Arabidopsis thaliana: one gene and its partners. The protein of the gene in region 1 purifies or fractionates together with the protein of each later gene. This does not show direct contact. Each region holds a gene or a part of one and is shown in the gene's direction. Other genes may lie near its edges. The genes, in order: AT1G76140, LIN2, AT5G48480 and hemf2.

The links.
Region 2: the proteins of AT1G76140 (region 1) and LIN2 fractionate together in Arabidopsis thaliana (co-fractionation; one large-scale study listed by BioGRID). This does not show direct contact.
Region 3: the proteins of AT1G76140 (region 1) and AT5G48480 fractionate together in Arabidopsis thaliana (co-fractionation; one large-scale study listed by BioGRID). This does not show direct contact.
Region 4: the proteins of AT1G76140 (region 1) and hemf2 fractionate together in Arabidopsis thaliana (co-fractionation; one large-scale study listed by BioGRID). This does not show direct contact.

The regions. Positions count from the first base shown.
Region 1 is NC_003070.9:28,569,574-28,575,585, forward strand, and holds AT1G76140 (Prolyl oligopeptidase family protein), read left to right. Parts: upstream 1-1,556; 5' UTR 1,557-1,613; coding exon 1,614-1,915; intron 1,916-2,145; coding exon 2,146-2,365; intron 2,366-2,452; coding exon 2,453-2,653; intron 2,654-2,747; coding exon 2,748-2,818; intron 2,819-2,906; coding exon 2,907-3,069; intron 3,070-3,281; coding exon 3,282-3,875; intron 3,876-3,965; coding exon 3,966-4,346; intron 4,347-4,464; coding exon 4,465-4,540; intron 4,541-4,624; coding exon 4,625-4,688; intron 4,689-4,776; coding exon 4,777-4,912; intron 4,913-5,010; coding exon 5,011-5,124; intron 5,125-5,166; exon of another isoform or gene 5,167-5,213; coding exon 5,214-5,279; 3' UTR 5,280-5,463; downstream 5,464-6,012. Other genes in the region: ECH2 (enoyl-CoA hydratase 2), read right to left, coding at 5,663-5,750, 5,864-6,012.
Region 2 is NC_003070.9:868,328-873,203, reverse strand, and holds LIN2 (Coproporphyrinogen III oxidase), read left to right. Parts: upstream 1-1,895; 5' UTR 1,896-2,028; coding exon 2,029-2,553; intron 2,554-2,632; coding exon 2,633-2,708; intron 2,709-2,796; coding exon 2,797-2,891; intron 2,892-2,976; coding exon 2,977-3,060; intron 3,061-3,241; coding exon 3,242-3,329; intron 3,330-3,421; coding exon 3,422-3,546; intron 3,547-3,651; coding exon 3,652-3,750; intron 3,751-3,833; coding exon 3,834-3,902; 3' UTR 3,903-4,351; downstream 4,352-4,876. Other genes in the region: NAC006 (NAC domain containing protein 6), read right to left, coding at 298-464, 522-759, 811-912, 992-1,330. UniProt on the Arabidopsis thaliana protein: Key enzyme in heme biosynthesis. Catalyzes the oxidative decarboxylation of propionic acid side chains of rings A and B of coproporphyrinogen III.
Region 3 is NC_003076.8:19,642,692-19,647,366, forward strand, and holds AT5G48480 (Lactoylglutathione lyase / glyoxalase I family protein), read left to right. Parts: upstream 1-1,847; 5' UTR 1,848-2,122; coding exon 2,123-2,406; intron 2,407-2,750; coding exon 2,751-2,967; 3' UTR 2,968-3,625; coding exon of another isoform or gene 3,626-3,934; 3' UTR 3,935-4,149; downstream 4,150-4,675. Other genes in the region: AT5G48470 (uncharacterized protein), read left to right, coding at 158-226, 324-494, 577-720, 815-973, 1,086-1,151, 1,252-1,311, 1,392-1,436; DIR1 (Bifunctional inhibitor/lipid-transfer protein/seed storage 2S albumin superfamily protein), read right to left, coding at 3,626-3,934.
Region 4 is NC_003075.7:1,411,176-1,415,296, forward strand, and holds hemf2 (Coproporphyrinogen III oxidase), read left to right. Parts: upstream 1-1,609; 5' UTR 1,610-1,638; coding exon 1,639-2,163; intron 2,164-2,251; coding exon 2,252-2,327; intron 2,328-2,406; coding exon 2,407-2,528; 3' UTR 2,529-2,584; coding exon of another isoform or gene 2,585-2,590; 3' UTR 2,591-3,349; intron 3,350-3,442; 3' UTR 3,443-3,607; downstream 3,608-4,121. Other genes in the region: AT4G03200 (catalytics), read left to right, coding at 1-117, 199-309, 381-605, 678-881, 959-1,135, 1,206-1,391. UniProt on the Arabidopsis thaliana protein: Key enzyme in heme biosynthesis. Catalyzes the oxidative decarboxylation of propionic acid side chains of rings A and B of coproporphyrinogen III.

The DNA.
Region 1 (6,012 bases):
GGAGTATTTTTCTTAGGCATTATTATGACGTTTTCTTTTGTTATAGTCGGAATGTATACATTTTCTGTATAGTCACACTCACATGTTTCTATAGATGTATTTGATGTAAGTGATCTAAGCTCAGTATTTTCAATTGAGGTATATATATGCTGAGTTATTGTTGTCCTTGCGCTTATTTTGATATTATAGGTACTTTGTTTTTTTCTCTTACATTTATAGTTACGTTATAGTCTTATAGACTATTCCCACATTTTTGTGTTTATTTATATCGGTTGTTGACTAATTAGGTTTTAGATGGTACCAAAATGATTTGCAATTCTATGTGGAAATATGAAAGCAAAACAAGTTTACAATACGACTTTTGCCAAGCTCTTAGCATTGTTACGATTATTGGATTCTAACGTTTTTTTCTTCTTTAGGTAAAATGAGGATTTTAATGTTGAGAAAGTAAGCTTCGGATTTATCATGTAATCGTGATGATATGACATTCGATGACTTGGTAGATATGTATAATCCTCGACGTCTCTGTTGTGCATCTAGCATGGTTTATAGGGGCTCATTAAACAGGGTGTAGATTTATACATTTACCATAAGTTTGAAAAATTACAACTCCACGTCAAAGAGAAAATAAAGAAAATAATAAGAATTCAACAAAAACTTTCCCTAGTAACCTCATCATTGGAAGTGTGTCAGTAGCATTTAAATTATCCTTTCAAGGCAAATCTCCAAACTTTTCTACGCGATTTAACTATGCGCGTGACTCCCAAATTTCCTTTCTCGTTTATTATGTAGGTCAAAGTTGCTTTTATCTTGTAATTTTTTTCTTATGTTCGGTCAATTCACTAAAACTCCAGTAATTATTTATCTGTAGTGTAGCGTATGATTATTATTCTGCAAACTCTGCGTAATAGAGACTTTTTAAAAAACAAATGCAGTAGTCCAAACCTACTTTCTAGAAAGAAAAAGAAAAAATGTTCTTTAGTTTCCCTCCTAAACGGTGAAAAGTCTCTTTGTCGCAATTTGTTTACACATATCCTGATAAAACGAGTTTATTGGGCTTTATGTTGGGCTCGTTTATTCAGCAGGTCTGAACCTCAAAACTATATTATAAAGTTTAAGCCCAAAAGGCTTTAAATATGGTATCAACAACATATGCTTATGCTATGCATCATTTTCGCAAACTATGGTGTTGTATGAATTAGTGGGTTGTTCAAGATGTTTTTTCTTAAGCGAAAACCTATTTATACAGTTTGCAATGGATATAAGCTTTTGCAAAGTCTACAAAAGTCACATCTCACCACAAAAAAAAAAGGTCTACAAAATCACATGTATCTTTGGAAAAGTATCCATGCTTAGATATTTCATATTTCTGATCCAATTATCCAAACAAACATGTCAACAGATAAAATTAAAAAAAAAGCTAATCTTTTCAAAATATACAAGTCAAACTGTCAGAATATAACAATTTAGACTAGTTGATAAAAATATATTTTTGAATAAGAACATTTTAGATTAAATTTTGGTACCATAAAATGTTTGATAGAACGACGAAACCATTTTGACATATTAACGGCAATCTCGGGGAAGAAGAAGAAGCGGTAGAGAGAAAACCGATGCTCACAGCGTTTGCAAGTCACGCGCGTTCTCACGTTTTCGCGTTTGTTACCGTCCCAACAATCACGCGCCGCCTCCGTATAAATATCTTACGCCAATCACCTCTCTCCTCTTCTCTTCTCCTAAACGAAACCTTCTCCAATCGACCCAATTCTGTTTCTCGTCGTTGTTATTGTTCGAGCTCTGCGATAATGGGTTCTTCTTCGGTGTTTGGCGAGCAATTACAGTATCCTGCGACTCGGCGTGATGATTCCGTCGTCGATGACTATCACGGCGTCAAGATCGGAGATCCGTACCGTTGGTAAGAGTTCGTTTCCAGCTGCAATTTCTCTTATTATGCTTTTAGGTTTCCGGATGAGAACGATATTTCCAAATGAGATTTTGAACACATCGCTCTGAGGAATTAGCAGACATTGGATTTGACTTGGAGATTGACCTTGAGAGAAATTCCTAAATTGTTCGTGATTTCGTGTGATTTGTTCATTTTTGCTATGATTTAGCGTTGAATTTGTCATTCTGGATTGTTGCTAGGTTAGAGGATCCTGATGCTGAAGAAGTGAAGGAGTTTGTGCAGAGCCAAGTGAAATTGACAGATTCTGTACTTGAAAAGTGTGAAACAAAGGAGAAGCTCCGTCAGAATATAACGAAACTTATTGATCATCCTCGTTACGATTCACCATTCAGGCAAGGGGATAAGTACTTTTACTTCCATAACACTGGTCTACAGGCTCAAAGTGTGCTTTATATGCAGGTATTTGTTGAGATAAAGGCGTTTGTATCAGTGCATACTCTGTTCTAGCTTTGTTTTCTCATTGAATTTGATTGCATTCGGGTTCAGGATAATCTGGATGCTGAGCCAGAGGTTTTGCTTGATCCGAACACTCTTAGTGATGATGGAACAGTGGCCTTAAACACCTTTTCTGTCAGCGAGGATGCTAAGTACTTGGCCTATGGTCTTAGTTCAAGTGGTAGCGACTGGGTGACGATTAAGCTGATGAAAATCGAGGATAAGAAAGTGGAGCCTGATACTTTATCATGGGTATGGTCTTAAAGATGGTACTGACTAGTGGGGTTGATCAATAAAGTTCTACCGTCCAGATTTCTGATAGATTTATGTTCCTCTCGTGGAACAGGTTAAGTTTACCGGCATTACATGGACGCACGACAGTAAAGGATTTTTCTATGGTCGCTACCCAGCTCCCAAGTAAGTACAAGATGTGTTGGAAGAAGCCTTTCGATATAGTTCAGAAAGCTAAGTTGATTTACCAATTTTATCTGTTTTTGTTTTGCAGAGAAGGAGAGGATATTGATGCTGGCACTGAGACTAATTCTAACCTTTATCATGAGCTGTATTACCATTTCATTGGGACGGATCAATCTCAAGATATCTTATGCTGGAGAGATAATGAGAATCCCAAATATATGTTCGGAGCTGAAGTCACTGACGATGGGAAGGTAACACACCAAGTTCTTATGTTGGTTCTTTAACTATGGTTACGCTCTTAAACCTCAAATTTATTTTTTCTGCGCATACTTACGGAAAATCATTTTGATCGTTTCCCTTTTTCTAAATGATGGTCATGACTTCAAACTGTGTTACCTAGTTTTGTAGATCTGGAACTTGGATTCTTAGTTTTAGGTCTAATCAATGTTATTTCTTCTTGTAGTATCTGATCATGAGCATTGGAGAGAGTTGTGACCCTGTCAACAAATTATACTACTGCGATATGACTTCATTGTCAGGAGGTCTTGAGAGTTTCAGAGGAAGCAGCAGTTTTCTTCCATTCATTAAGCTTGTTGACACATTTGACGCGCAATATAGTGTTATCTCAAATGATGAGACTCTGTTTACTTTCTTGACGAATAAAGATGCCCCTAAGTACAAATTAGTCCGGGTTGATCTAAAGGAACCAAACAGCTGGACTGATGTTGTTGAAGAACACGAAAAGGATGTCTTAGCATCAGCTTGTGCTGTCAATGGGAATCACCTGGTCGCATGCTACATGAGCGATGTAAAGCATATTCTGCAAATTAGGGACTTGAAATCTGGTTCATTGCTTCACCAATTACCTCTAGATATTGGTTCAGTATCTGATGTTTCTGCTCGGCGCAAGGACAATACCTTTTTCTTTAGCTTTACTAGCTTTCTCACTCCTGGTGTGATTTACAAGTGTGACTTAGCCAATGAATCTCCAGAAGTTAAGGTATTCCGGGAGGTTACTGTACCCGGATTTGACAGGGAAGCATTTCAAGCCATTCAGGTAACACACTCTCTTGTAGCGTCTTCCTGTTTCTTTCATAACTACTTTTTACTTTGCATATGTTAAAGTGGTTTCTGCTCCTCTTTATAGGTCTTCTATCCCAGCAAGGATGGAACAAAGATACCTATGTTTATTGTGGCGAAAAAGGATATTAAGCTTGATGGATCACACCCATGTTTGCTCTATGCATATGGTGGGTTTAACATAAGCATAACACCGTCTTTCAGTGCCAGCCGTATTGTGCTTAGCAAGCATCTCGGTGTTGTTTTCTGCTTTGCAAACATTCGGGGTGGTGGGGAGTATGGTGAGGAATGGCACAAAGCAGGTTCACTTGCCAAAAAGCAGAACTGTTTCGATGACTTTATCTCTGGGGCAGAGTATCTCGTGTCCGCTGGTTATACACAACCGAGCAAGCTGTGTATTGAAGGTGGCAGCAATGGTGGACTCCTTGTCGGTGCTTGCATAAATCAGGCAAGTTTATATAGCCAATAATTCAGGACAAAAACGAATAATATGAAGCTAATAATTTGTAATTTTCGTCTCATTTAGTTGCCACACTTATACATAAATTTTCAATTCTGCTGCACAGAGACCGGACCTTTATGGTTGTGCTTTGGCTCATGTGGGCGTCATGGACATGCTACGGTTTCACAAATTCACTATAGGTGAGTGAGTTCAGTTATCTGCAATTTGTTTTGTTTGATTTTTTGCTTAATGTAATTCTAACTTGAGGTGTTATGTATGTATAGGTCATGCCTGGACATCTGATTATGGTTGCTCTGAGAATGAAGAGGAGTTTCATTGGCTGATAAAGTAAGTATATGAACTTATGATATGATGTTGTATTGATTTGTTTCCCAATGCTGATACAAAGTTACAATCTGGGTGTGAATGTATAAAGGTACTCGCCTCTGCACAATGTGAAGAGGCCATGGGAGCAACAAACCGATCACTTAGTTCAGTATCCATCAACTATGCTACTGACTGCTGATCACGATGACAGAGTTGTGCCACTTCACTCTTTGAAGTTGCTTGCTGTCCGTTTCCAGACTTTATTTCTTTAATGTTTAATTTATTTTCAATCTTACCTTAAATAGCCAGCAGATTGTTAAAACTCGTATGTATACATCTGCAGACGTTGCAGCACGTGCTGTGCACAAGCTTAGACAATAGTCCTCAGATGAACCCCATAATTGGTCGTATTGAAGTCAAGGCTGGCCATGGTGCTGGTCGCCCAACCCAAAAGATGGTAATGATTTTAGAAATTCTCGTTGCTTAAGCGTTACATCATATAACATACATTTTCCCATGGTTAACTGATATTGAGATGTTCAACAGATTGATGAAGCGGCTGATCGGTATTCGTTCATGGCAAAGATGGTGAATGCTTCATGGACGGAGTAAAAAAAATTCCTTTATCTACAGGCACCAAATATCTTTTCTCAATATCTTCTGTCCAAACAAGGACGTTGTATGAGTTAGTGACAATTACATGTAAACACATGTTTCAGTTTTTTCTCAGGCTTTATGTTCCAGTTCATTGACACCCAAAAAGGATTTTCTTCAATGCATTTTGCTTCATCCGGCATGTGCATTTTGCGTCACTCAACATTTATTACAACAGTAACACGATACAACTAACCATTTCAGTAAATTGTGACCGTCATCAAAGAGTGTTTATTGATGGCTCAATGGCTCATTACGCCAAGCAAACATCAAGAGTCTTCTGACATGTTTATTACCTTTGCAATATTATGACAGCCCAATATATCTAAGGACCTAACATTCTAAAGTGACGAAGATAACCCACGAATATCAACATAACCAGCTAACACAGTTTTGTTCCTTTCCTTCACTTTCGTCTGATATATAACCCTGTGAATACATCAAAAGCTAAGTTCAAGTTTTGAATATACCAGTGATATGGATAATCTATGTAATATATCGCCAAAGAACAATACAAGGTAGAGAGAGAGACAGAGTTCTACCTCAAGCCTTCAAGCCACATTTCGGTTATCAGAGTTTCGCCAGGAAAAACAGTCGTGAGGAATCGTCCAGATATGGTTTTGACAGCAGTTGGGTCACCCTTGCAAACACACTTGATGATTGCCTTGATTGCAAACCCGAGTGTGCATAG
Region 2 (4,876 bases), about 28 Mb from region 1:
TTTTATAATCTTTGAAAACCAAAAACATTACTTTTAAGTACACAATTGAAATTCATAGCTAAATAGTTAACATTACTGCTGCAACTCTATATTAATTGTAGAGTTATGGAAAAACAAAAGTACAAACTAAAATAAAGTTCGTTAAACTAGAATTTTACCCCGGAAAATCCACTATTTTTATGATATCTCCTTTACCGGAGTTACACAAATACACTAACCATATGTCTATAGTAATCTTTGTCACATATCAACTCAACCCACTAAAATATAATTCTATCCTCTCTGGTTTGTGTCGTATCATTTATCAACCCTAGTTAGATCAATAATCTCATAATTCCCCAATGCGAGGGCATCATTAGGATTGTTTATCAGTACCATCACATCATCTTTTTCTTGCTCTTGAGTAACGTCACAATCTTCTTGACGTTGTTGTTGTTGTTGTTGTTGTTGTTGTTGTTGAGTAACTTCGCGAGATTATTCTCCATCTAGCATCATCGTCTCAAGGTCATCATTAGCAAAACCGGTTAATTCAGCCTCTTCTGGCTGCTCACGATCTTCATGTCCCTCTAGCATCGTCTCAAGGCTATCAGCAAAACCGGTTAAATCAGCATCTTCTGGCTGCTCATGATCTTCTTGTCCCTCTAGCATCGTCTCAAGGCTATCAGCAAAACCGGTTAAATCAGCCTCTTCTTTCTGCTCACGGTCTTCTTGTCCCTCTAGCATCATCTCAAGCTGATCAGCAAAACCGGTTAAAGCATCCTCTTCTTACACTACTTGGTTCCGTAAGATGTTGTTGGTGTTCTCCGCCACCTGAGTCTGATGAGCCTGATGGTTAACGAGTCCAAACTCGTTGACGTTCGCCTCTTTCTTGTATCGGATCCGACACAAGACAACCTTTTGGAGGTCATCACTCTAGTGAAGAGAATACTCCATCTTCTGTCAATCGGTCTTGACAAGCTTTCCATGCACTCTCCTGTGGTACGTGAAAGACTGCTCGTAACCCATCACCCTTTTGCATGTGTCCGTCCTTGATCTCTTTTTTCCCATCGTTGCTTCTCCAAGTGCCGCCTTCGCTTCCTCCTCTTGCGGCTACCTTCCGGTGTACGCTTAATATCTTGCCACCTCGTTCAGTAAGCGGAACAAAGTAGTACCACTCGTTGTTATTGAACAAAGGATTGTTTACGTGAGGAAGAAGCCAAGGGTAGTCTTGGTGGATGTCCATAGTTGTTATGAAACTGCTCTGATTTCTCTCCACCTTGTTTCGAAGATAAAGCCTCACCAACCCTAGATCCGTCGGACAAAACCGTGATCCAACCGGAAGAATCTTCATATCGATCGTATAGATTCGAAGAAGAACTAGCTAAGGTACCTATATAATTGCTAAGGTTAAAAGTGCTCTTTCGTCTCTTGTGTAATACTGCTCTGTGAAGCAGGGTTTTCTTGAATTCCTCGCAGGTCAAGCGGCTGAACTCTCTATATGATCATGAATATATAGACAACGTGATGGGCCCAACCGGATTTTCTTTTGTCAGCGATTAACTATTTTTTGGAAAGAATAAGACGGTTGTAATTACATCTATTTGGTTATTTGAAATAATAATTAGATAGGATTCGAATCTATAATACACTTTTGTTTTGTTTATCACAGATTCTAACGATAGATAAAGATATATTACATGACCATGATTTATCCACATCAAAATAGCATAGTGCCGTAAACCGGCTAATCGTTTTGGGCCTAATTTGGGCAATTAAGCCCGTTAAGAAGGATAAGAGCCTATTGTGTATCAATATCTTCGGTTCGACCAAATTAAACCGCAATTTTAATTTCGTGTCTGGTTTGGTTTCGGCTAAATAATTCAGAAGTGGTTTAGTCTGAGAAGACTGGAACTGTGTTTTCTTTTACCTTGAGCTGTTAAATAAAAAGGAAGAGCGGTCAAAATCAGTGGACGACGAAGACTTCTTATCATTTAATATCTCTCCATCATCATCTTCTTCTTCAGCATCAAATCCAAATTCGGATCAAACATGGCTTCTCACTCGTCGACTCTCCTCTCTTCTCCTACTTTCGCTCCTTTCTCCTCTCATCGTCTTCATTATTCTCCCAATCCCTCTACTCTCAGATTCTCCCGTCCAATCAGAAATAAACCTAATCTCGCCTTGCGATGTTCAGTCTCAATTGAGAAAGAAGTTCCCGAAACTGAACGACCCTTTACTTTCCTTAGGGATTCTGATGACGTCACTCCATCTTCTTCTTCTTCTTCCGTCAGGGCTCGTTTCGAGACTATGATTAGGGCTGCTCAAGACAGTGTTTGTGATGCAATTGAAGCTATAGAAGGCGGTCCTAAGTTTAAAGAAGATGTTTGGTCTCGACCTGGTGGTGGCGGTGGAATCAGTCGTGTGTTGCAGGACGGGAATGTCTTTGAGAAAGCTGGTGTTAATGTCTCTGTGGTTTATGGTGTTATGCCTCCTGAAGCTTATAGAGCTGCAAAGGGCTCAGCTTCTGATCAGAAACCTGGTCCTGTTCCGTTCTTCGCTGCTGGAGTCAGCTCGGTAATGAATCTCTCCCTTCAATTTTACGATTCTTGGAGGTTCTCATGTTTTATCATTACGGATTTCTGTGTGATTCTAGGTTTTGCATCCCAAGAACCCTTTTGCCCCAACCCTGCATTTCAATTATCGCTATTTCGAGACAGATGCTCCAAAGGGTAAAAAAGCTAAAGTCTCAGTGAGATTGTAAAGTTGTTGTCTTTTGTTTGGACAACAGTCTTAAGTTTTTAATTTTCAACGGCGCAGATGTTCCTGGAGCTCCAAGGCAATGGTGGTTTGGTGGTGGCACTGATTTCACTCCTGCTTACATCTTTGAAGAAGATGTCAAGCATTTCCATTCGGTACTGAGCCTTATTCCTTGTTCTAAAGATATGAGCTTTGTGATCATGGAGTTGCTTTTATATAAACTGCTCTTTGTTGTTGTAGATTCAAAAGCAAGCCTGTGACAAATTTGACCCTTCCTTCTATCCCCGATTCAAGAAGTGGTGTGATGACTACTTTTACATCAAGGTAAGTTTTGTGAGATCCTGAAGCATTTTCTGGAACTGAGGGCCTTATTCTTTGAGTTGTGTTTAGGGATGTTATAGTCAAATCTGAGAGGGTAGAAACTGCTTAGAGAGACGTTCAGAAGCCTATTGTTAGTGTGAGGGCTTTGAAAACTTTTCTTAGAAATCTTTGATTTTGCTTGCAGCACCGTGATGAGAGACGAGGACTTGGAGGGATATTTTTTGATGATCTTAATGACTATGATCAGGAAATGCTTCTGTCATTTGCCACTGGTAAGGGACTGATTGTCCTCAATCTACAACAAACGATTTATTTTAATTGGTCTAGTTTCTTGGTAGACTAATTTAGCAATTGGTGTTTACAGAATGCGCAAACTCAGTGGTGCCGGCTTATATACCTATAGTAGAGAAAAGGAAAGACATGGAATTTACAGAGCAGCACAAGGCATGGCAACAGTTGCGACGAGGGCGATATGTCGAATTCAACTTGGTACTATGACCAAAACATTAGTCTTTTTCTCTGTTCTCACTCTCATCTCTCCAATCTTTCGTTATGAACCTTGTTCACTAATGTATTTGTAATGATGGATGGAAGGTATATGATCGGGGAACGACATTTGGTCTGAAGACAGGAGGACGAATAGAGAGCATTCTCGTCTCTCTTCCGCTTTCAGCAAGATGGGAATATGACCATGTAAGTTCTTTCCTCATTTGTGAAGAAACTTGGTCTAAATTCAATTGAATATGGCAATGTAGTAATGGTGTTTGTGAGTGCAGAAACCGGAAGAGGGGACCGAAGAGTGGAAGCTATTGGATGCTTGCATCAACCCGAAGGAGTGGATCTAGCCTGTGTTTCCCATTGTTGTGAGAAGAGTGAGTTTATTTCCATTGTTTCATGTAAGTTTTGAGCAGCTTTAGAGGATTAGATAACTGGAGAGATGGAGAAAGAGAGTGTGTAAGGTCAGGTCAAAATCTAGTCTTGTGATGTGCATGTTAACATCATCTCCTTTCTCTCTTTGCGATGGCAATGAAGACAAACTAAGAGCAGTGTTGTTAAAAGTCAAAACTTACCAATGCAAACAGTTGGTTTCTTGCAAGTTTTGAGCAGCTTTAGAGGATTAGATTACTGAAAAGAAAGTTATACTCTAGCCTTGTGATGTGCATGTTAACATGCGTCTGTTACGCTGTCGTTTCGTTTCTTTCTTTTGCCAATGGCAACGAAGACAACTTGTGCATTCAACTTTTTCACAAGTGACATGCTTATCTACGGACTCTAATCCAAATCCATATCCTCCTTAAGAACCCAAAACAAAAACTTATTGCTCAAAGTGTTGAAATCTGAGCTTTTCCAAAGAGAAGAAACAGTGATCAGCCCAGCCTAATGTAAGCCATTAGGCCTCTTAGTATTTTTTTTTTTTTTTTTTTTTGTCATCAAGCCTCTTAGTGTTAGCTGTCATAATTTCCTTTTTTTTTCATCTCTCTCGTTATTACGCCCTGAATCATTTAATAATCCCCAAATAAAGCAATAAATTTCTATTTTTTGTTTGTTTGTACAGAATTCTATGCAAATCAGTGTATTTTTTTTATGTAGAAATAGTGCTTAACGCCTGTAAGTGTTAATCAATACTTTAATCTATAAATAGGGTACAAATTTAAAATTATTCAAAGACAATAACATCCTTAAAAAGAAAAAAAATAGATTCACTTGTCTTATTGTAAAAAGAGCTAATAATGAAACAAAGCCAAATGAAGAACTAAATATGAGGTTCATCAATTTTTTATATTTACTTTAATATTTTATTTTTCCCGACTACTTTAAT
Region 3 (4,675 bases), on another chromosome or scaffold:
TGCTACATAGAACGACCAGGATAGCTAGAATTGCTTTTGCAATGTAGTGTAGCAAATATTACATGTTCTCTGGATTTTATGGCTGTTGTTAGTCTTGCCATTAGTTCTGTAGCATAAGCTGGGACAAAGGATTAAAGAATTTTTGTTTTGGATTCAGAGAAAGTCTTTACTAGAGGTCGTCAAGGAGACTGTCTTATCTCATCTCACCAAGAAATGCCCTCCTCATGTGAGTAATATTAAGATTAGTTTCTTCTTACTTTCTAAATTTTTCATTAGCTTCATTTCATGTTTTTAATTTTGTGTAAGTGTTGCTCCATATTTAGGTCCAGGTGATTGGTTTACTCTGTAGAACCCCGAAAAAGGAAAGTAGACATGAGCTTCTGCGTAGGGTGGCTGCAGGTGGTGGGGCTTTTGAAAGTGAGAACGGTACTAAACTTCATATACCCGGAGCAAATCTGAATGACATAGCTAATCAAGCTGATGACTTGCTAGAGGTACTTGTGTTTGTTTAAGTATAGATATCAATCTGTATTTGAGATAGTTTGAGAATGTGAACAAGTCTGAGGATTTTTGCAGACTATGGAAACAAGGCCAGCTATTCCGGATCGAAAACTACTAGCGAGGCTTGTTTTGATTAGAGAGGAAGCCCGGAACATGATGGGAGGAGGTATACTTGATGAAAGAAATGACCGAGGTTTCACTACTCTTCCTGAATCAGAGGTTTGTGTGACAAACTATTATGTCCATGATGCTGTGTTTGTGAACATTTTTTAAACATTGAGATACAGTGACTTGTTGCTTGATCGTCAAACAGGTGAATTTCTTAGCCAAATTGGTAGCTTTGAAACCTGGAAAGACTGTGCAGCAGATGATCCAGAATGTAATGCAAGGGAAAGATGAAGGCGCAGATAATCTTAGCAAAGAAGACGATTCTTCTACCGAAGGAAGAAAACCAAGTGGATTAAATGGAAGGGTAAGTATGATCAAGTGACACATTGTTTTGTTAAAAGAGAAGACTTTTTCAGTAGGCTCTGAACCAAAGATATGTCTTCTTTTCTTACTTGGCCTACTTGATGCGATCTCAGGGAAGCGTTACAGGAAGAAAACCGTTACCAGTAAGACCAGGAATGTTTCTAGAAACTGTCACAAAGGTATGTTTCCAACATTCCTCGATCCCCTATGTTCAACAGATGATAGTAATAGAGAACATTGACCACTTTTTTATGTGATGTTTAAATCCAATCTTGATAGGTACTGGGAAGTATATACTCGGGTAATGCCTCCGGGATAACAGCACAACATCTAGAATGGGTAAGTTCCTCATAACACCAAAACATTTGCAACCAAAGTCTCGTTTCTTTGCATTCATCATAGTTTATTTCTGTTCACAGGTTCACCAAAAAACCCTCCAAGTTCTTGAAGAAATCGCTTATTAGTAATATCTTTTGTTACATCAAGAAAGACTCGCAGGTAGAGATTGCGTCCTGAAATAATCTTGATCGGTATATAATTTGTAATTTGGTTGGTTGATATGACATATAATGTCTCTCTACTAAACTATGCACATCCATTAAACCTCAAAAGTTACATGTGACGTAAAATAAAATTGGAAAGGGATAGAAGAAAAAAAAGAATAATGGTAGTGATATTAACATATCTTTAAACCCATTCGAAACGGATGGGAAAAAATAAAATCGTAACTTTTGTCCTATGTGTACCATTCAGAGTTACACAATGATAACAAACTAAAATATTTGATGACACAGTATATAACAAAGATTAAAATATTCGAGTAACCAATTTTAATTGATTTCTTTCCAACGGTTTAATAGAGGAGACATGCGAACGAGACACGAGTCCTATAGGGTAGTAAATGAAAAGTGATTAGTAGGGGCATATTCACGTAAATAAATCAAAAAGTAAGGGTAAAAATCCACGGACGTGAGAGCAATTGTTATATCCATTTGAAATCCTCGTCAGGTTACACGAAACGATTCCGCTTCTCCGCTTCCTTCATAAATATCTCACTCATCGTCTCTAGATTGTTCTTTCACACGCAATTTTCATTTCTCTCTTAACCGTAAACGAATCTCTCTTCTCAAAGTTTTATTTTCTCTCTGCGATGGCTCAAGAAGATGTTACTGCTGTTGCTACTAACGGTGCTGGTCCGGTGGAGACGCATCTTGTCTTCACTGAGTTCAAGCAGATGTTGCTCGTTGAAGCTCAAAAGGTCGGTGACGCTGTTACTTTCTACAAATCTGCTTTTGGTGCGATCGAGTCTGGTCATTCTCTTTACCCTAAGCGTAAGCTTGACCAAGAGCTTCCTCATGTTCTCTCTTCTGAGCTTAATCTCGCTGGCTCTTCCTTCGTTGTTTGCGACGTTTCCTCTCTCCCTGGTTTTTCTACGTAAGTCTCTCTCTCTCGTTTTGGTGTTTAGCTTCTAGATCTCCATGTTTTCTGTTTTTTTTTTAGGTTTTTGTTCGTTTAGTGTTTGATTTCGTTTTAGATCTGGTTTTAGGTTGTTTTATTAGAAGAAATCTGGAGAATAAATCATGTTTAGAAGTTATTCCTCTCCCTTAAACACGATTTTTTTGTTCGTTTTAGATCTGGATTTAGGTTTTTGAAATGAATAGTTTTTGGAAACTTTTATAACGCTTAAAAAACTATTTTAAGTGGATGATTGTGCCTTTTCTTAAATACGATTACTGTTTACTTATGTGGTTTTGTTTCTTTTTTAAATCGTTAAACAGTGCGAAATCGGAAGGTTCGGGAGTGACTTTTCTTCTCGGAACTAAGGATGCTGAAGCCGCCGTTGCGAAAGCTGTTGACGCCGGAGCTGTGAAAGTGGAGGTTACGGAGGCAGAAGTTGAACTGGGATTCAAAGGAAAAGTTACGGATCCTTTTGGTGTCACTTGGATCTTCGCGGAGAAGAAGACCGTGATCACCGACGAGAACAAAGAGGTTTAGAATCTGTCGTCGGATCTAATTCTTCGTCGGTTTCTGAACAAAAAAAACTATCTATTATCCTAGGTTTATGCTTTTATTTTGTCTTTTGTGGAATCCGGTAATCAGTAAACCGGATCGAGTAGGCTAATGACTTTCGGATTCTAATTTCACCCCTTTTGACAAACTCTAATCTTGGTGAAATTGCATATTAATCTCGGGCTATATTATGTTTTGTTGATGATTTCGCTTCTCTATCTATCTTCTATAATCGTTCTGTGTTTAATCTGTGTTCTTTGTCATTTTTGTTGGTTTAGTACTAAGGGTATAATCGTCTATTTGGAATGAAAATGAAATGGTTAGTGATTAGATAAGACGGAATTAAGAATATTTGTTGTTTTGGTGTCAGAGTGTTGAATACTGTGTCAGAGGTAGTGAAACCATAAACCTCTGTATTTGTGCTTTGTGGTTTCTCTCTATCGCTTATTGGTTACATATTTTTCGAAATTGCCCTTCCGTGTTTGGGCCTTGTGTAGTTTTCGATTGGTCCTCTTTCTTTTCTTTTGACCAGTTTTTGGGGTTAACCCATAAACGCCATTTGGCAGAAAATACGATTTATTAATAACATCCGATATTTAGAATAGGAGTAATAAAAAACATAAACACACGTATACAGAGTCTTTTAACAAGTTGGGGCGTTGGCTAGACCACACTGTTTGGGGAGAGCAGAAGCGAGTTCAGGATCAACACCGAAAGAACCGAGCCATGGAGAGTTCTTGTAACCACAAAGACATGCAAAATCAGCGTGTTGCAGAGCGGTGCAGCAAGGCTGTGATGGGCTCGTCGGATTCTCCTTGCTAACCGCTGGTTTGCACTCATTCAACTCATCCTGGCTCATGCCGCAGAGATCTATCGCTACTGATGTATCGACCAACATAGCCATTATCACGATCATCGCCATCATAACCATAGCTGCTTTCTTGCTCGCCATATTATTATCCTCCTCTCTCTTTTTCTATATGTTTGTTTGTGTTTGTGGTGTTGAAATGAATGTGCATGAGAAGGTGTATATATATCAAGTTTTAGAGAAACCCGTGAACCAGATTGGATTGCTCCATATAGTCACGGGGATGTGTTTTTCCACTTTACTTTTGGGAGAGGGTCTTTTGTCATAGAATCATAAGCTTTCGGATTCTTATCAATTATCAAGTATCGATTACACAATTTCCAGTCCACAAATCTTTTACTACAAATGGAAAAAGAAAATTCAACTTGCACATTGTATTTGTATATAAAATTCTCTTTTAATCGAAAAAAAACACATTAATAAACATCCGCAAAATACTGGGCCTGATATGAGCCCAAGTAAGAGTACTCTAAGAAGTTTCACAAATTACGAAAATAAAACAGTTAGCGAGTATTACTGTTAAGTGTCAACAACAGTTAGCTACTTTAACCACAAAACAAATGAGAACATCAGTTAGTATATAAACGGGACAAAATATAGAACGAAGAATAAATCCAAATCTCTAGATTCTCAATTTTTTTGCTGTTCTATTTTCAAATAAATGTTTTATTTTCTTTGAGAATTTCAGTCCTATTAGTGTAATTAGTGATAAACTCATAAGCATGGCACATACGAGATGATTATTTGGTCTACGAAATGGTTTAGTGGATTTAATATATGTATTTTTATAGTTGATACTTTTTCACCATCTAATCGTTTTTCAAC
Region 4 (4,121 bases), on another chromosome or scaffold:
GCTATGGCATCAAAGTTTAGCCTCTCTGTTGAGAAGTATCAGGAGATATTAGGTGAATGCCGAAGAAAGCTTTTCGATGTCAGATTGAAGCGACCTAAGCCGCATCTAGATGATAAGGTAATACTCTTCTTGGAATTCTCATGTTGTCTTCTCTACTGTTTCTTCAGATTTGTTAACCATTTAAGATTTCTTTCATAGATAATCGTGTCTTGGAACGGTCTTGTTATCTCGTCTTTCGCAAGAGCTTCCAAGATTCTTAAGGCTGAGCCTGAAAGCACCAAATATTATTTCCCTGTGGTGAATAGTCAGGTAATGAATGCTACACCCTTTCCTTTAATTTCTTCTTTGACCGTTTTGTAATTAGAAGACTCATTTTTCAGCCAGAGGATTACATAGAGGTTGCAGAGAAAGCAGCTTTGTTTATCAGAGGAAATCTCTATGATGAGCAGTCTCGCAGATTACAACACAGTTACAGACAGGGGCCATCCAAAGCTCCTGCCTTCTTAGACGATTATGCTTTCTTGATCTCTGGTTTACTCGATCTTTACGAGAATGGAGGTGGGATCGAATGGCTTAAGTGGGCGATTAAACTTCAAGAAACACAGGCAAGTGAGATCTTTACTAGCTCGATTTGTTAAAGTTCTTGATTTTGGCTAAAAAAGTTAAAAACATTTTAGGATGAGTTATATCTGGACCGAGAAGGAGGAGCATACTTCAATACTGAAGGACAAGACCCATCGGTTCTTCTTCGTGTAAAAGAAGATCATGATGGTGCAGAACCTTCAGGGAACTCTGTTTCTGCTATCAATCTTGTGAGGTTAGCTTCCATAGTCGCCGGAGAAAAAGCTGAATCCTACCTCAACACGGCACATCGTCTCCTGGTAAACAAACAAACAACTAATCCCATTTGCTATTCATAGAAAGAGATTATTGAGTCTCTTTGTTGTTGTTTTTGCAGGCAGTCTTTGAGTTGAGGTTAAGAGAACTGGCGGTGGCTGTGCCATTAATGTGCTGCTCCGCAGATATGATCTCTGTTCCGTCGAGGAAACAAGTTGTATTGGTTGGTTCTAAGTCTTCCCCAGAGCTTACCAACATGCTTTCTGCAGCACATTCAGTCTATGATCCTAATAAAACGGTAAGAGCTTAAAAAATTATCCAAATTTCTAGATTCAAGATTTGTGACTTTTGGTGGTTTTACTGAGCAGGTGATTCACATAGATCCCTCTAGTTCTGATGAAATCGAGTTTTGGGAAGAGCATAACAGTAATGTAGCTGAGATGGCTAAGAAGAACAGAAACTCAGAGAAAGTGGTGGCTCTTGTTTGTCAACACTTCACTTGCAGTCCTCCTGTCTTTGACTCTTCTTCTCTCACTCGCTTGCTTTCCAAGTAAACAAAGATCATTCCATGTTTAATAGTTGCTTGTACTGTAAGGAACAGATCAACGTTGTTCTCTCTGTTACAGTCTTACAGAGTAGATAAATAAAGAAGAGAACTAAACCGAGTATGAGGTTTTTTGGTTGAACTAAACCGGAAATAACCGGGTTTGGTTTGGTTAAAAAAACAGAGCTTTGACGATTCCTTATCATCTTCTATCTTCAGCAAAAAGGTGAAAACTTGGATTCGATCGATCGCTGAAAATGGCGTCTCACTCTTCGACTCTCTTCACTTCTCCTTCTTCCTTCATTCTCTTCTCTTCTCATCGTCTCAAATCTTCTCCGAATTACTTCACTTACCACTTTCCTCGTTCCGTAAAGAGACCACATTTCGACTTGCGATGCTCAGTCTCAATCGAGAAAGAAGTTCCGGAAACAGAAAGACCTTTCACTTTCCTCAGAGTCTCCGACGGCGATCAAACTCAATCTTCTTCTTATTCGGTTAGGGCTCGTTTCGAGAAAATGATAAGAACTGCTCAAGATAAAGTCTGTGAAGCCATTGAAGCAGTCGAAGAAGGTCCTAAATTCAAGGAAGATGTTTGGTCTCGACCCGGTGGAGGTGGTGGAATCAGTCGTATTTTGCAAGACGGAAATGTATGGGAGAAAGCTGGAGTTAATGTCTCTGTGATTTATGGTGTTATGCCTCCTGAAGCTTATAGAGCTGCTAAAGCTGCCACGTCTGAGCAAAAACCTGGTCCGATTCCGTTCTTTGCCGCTGGAACCAGCTCGGTGAGTTCTCTCTCTCTCTCTCTATCAGTCGACATTGCTGTTGATATGGTCTCTGAGTTCTTTGATTGAGCTTGATCCTACATTCTAGGTTTTGCATCCTCAGAACCCTTTTGCTCCGACTCTGCATTTCAATTACCGCTATTTCGAGACCGATGCTCCAAAGGGTAAGACCTTAATCCTCTTTGAGAAGTGTAAAGTTCCAATTTTTTGGTTGGATGAAGCATTTGATTTCATCACTTGTAGATGTTCCTGGAGCTCCGAGGCAATGGTGGTTCGGTGGTGGGACTGACTTCACACCTGCTTACATCTTTGAAGAAGACGTCAAGCACTTTCATTCGGTCGTTAAACCTGATCCATTGTTCTGAAAGTTTGAAGCTTTGTGATTATGGAGATGCTGATTGAAATATCTTTCTTTGTGTAGGTTTAAAAGCAAGCCTGCGATAAATTTGATCCGTCGTTCTACCCTTGGTTTAAGAAATGGTGTGATGACTACTTTTACATTAAGGTCTGCAGTTCCTTTAACGCTATTCTGATTGTTTGGTGAGATCTTAGCACTTTGTGGAACTAAAAGACCTTAGTTTTAGAGTCATGTATGTGCAAGAATAGATTTAGAGCCTCAAGGTTTTGTTTAGGTTGATACAGTGATAAGTTGTCGCCTAGGATTTGAAAACACTAAAAACTTTACGGTCTTGCCTGCAGCACCGTGATGAGAGGCGAGGGCTTGGAGGGATATTTTTTGATGATTTGAATGACTATGATCAAGAGATGCTTCTGTCATTCGCCACTGGTAGTGACCAAGATATAACTTGTGACATTTTGTTTTAAGAAACTTCCTAGTTGACTTATTTGAATACTGAGATGAATTTTGCAGAATGTGCAAGCTCAGTGATACCAGCTTCTATACCCATAGTAGAGAAACGTAAAGACACACCATTTAACGAGCAACACAAGGCATGGCAACAGCTGCGAAGGGGCAGATATGTTGAATTCAACTTCGTAATTGGATACTACTAGCTTTGTTTTTCTTTCTGTATAAATATCTCTTGAAACCTCGTCTCATGTTTTGTTGCTGATGGTAAAAATAAAGGTGTATGACCGCGGAACAACATTTGGTCTGAAGACTGGAGGACGAATAGAGAGTATCCTTGTCTCTCTTCCGCTATCTGCGAGATGAGAATATGACCATGTAAAGTTTCTTGATTCAAGAAACTAAATCTTGTTTCATCTTAGCTAATGAAACTTAACTACTGATGGTGTTTGTCTCTTGTTGCGGATGCAGAAACCTGAAGAAGGAACTGAGGAATGGAAACTATTAGATGCTTGTATCAATCCAAAAGAGTGGCTTTAGTTAATTAATTGTGGTTATTTCCCCAATTAGCTCTTTTATTAGTTTTGTCTTTAAAAGCCTTAAAAGAGTAAAGAGTCTAATGAAAAGTGAGTGAGATAAAGAAATTGTAATTTGGCGTCATCTCATCATGAGTCACTGACAAACAAAGATCATGATGGTTGATGATGGAGTATATAGTACCAATCGTGATGATGATGATAAAAGTAATTAACTTTTAATTTTTTTTACTGACACAGTAAAAATAAGAGCCGTTGGCTCAAATAGCCGAGCCTCTCGGTGCACGCACGCATGCCACTTGCTCGGTAACTGTTCACTAGACAGAACACAACAACACTCAAATAGAGTGATAACATTGAATCTGATGATTTGGTTTAGTATAAAAATCGTTTCCAAGTTTCAACGAGTGGGACTTGTGTTAGGTTAAACAATTTCGGATTAAGTAAACGTCACTGTCTCATTTGTCTTGATACAAGAAACGCCCGTGATATTTTTTCTTCGATGTCGTCCAATGGGGACAAAGAAACAATTTAGTCCCCGGATATACACACACACACACAAATAATACATGGGTGTTGTTATTATGGCTTACCTTACACAACACAACTTGCCA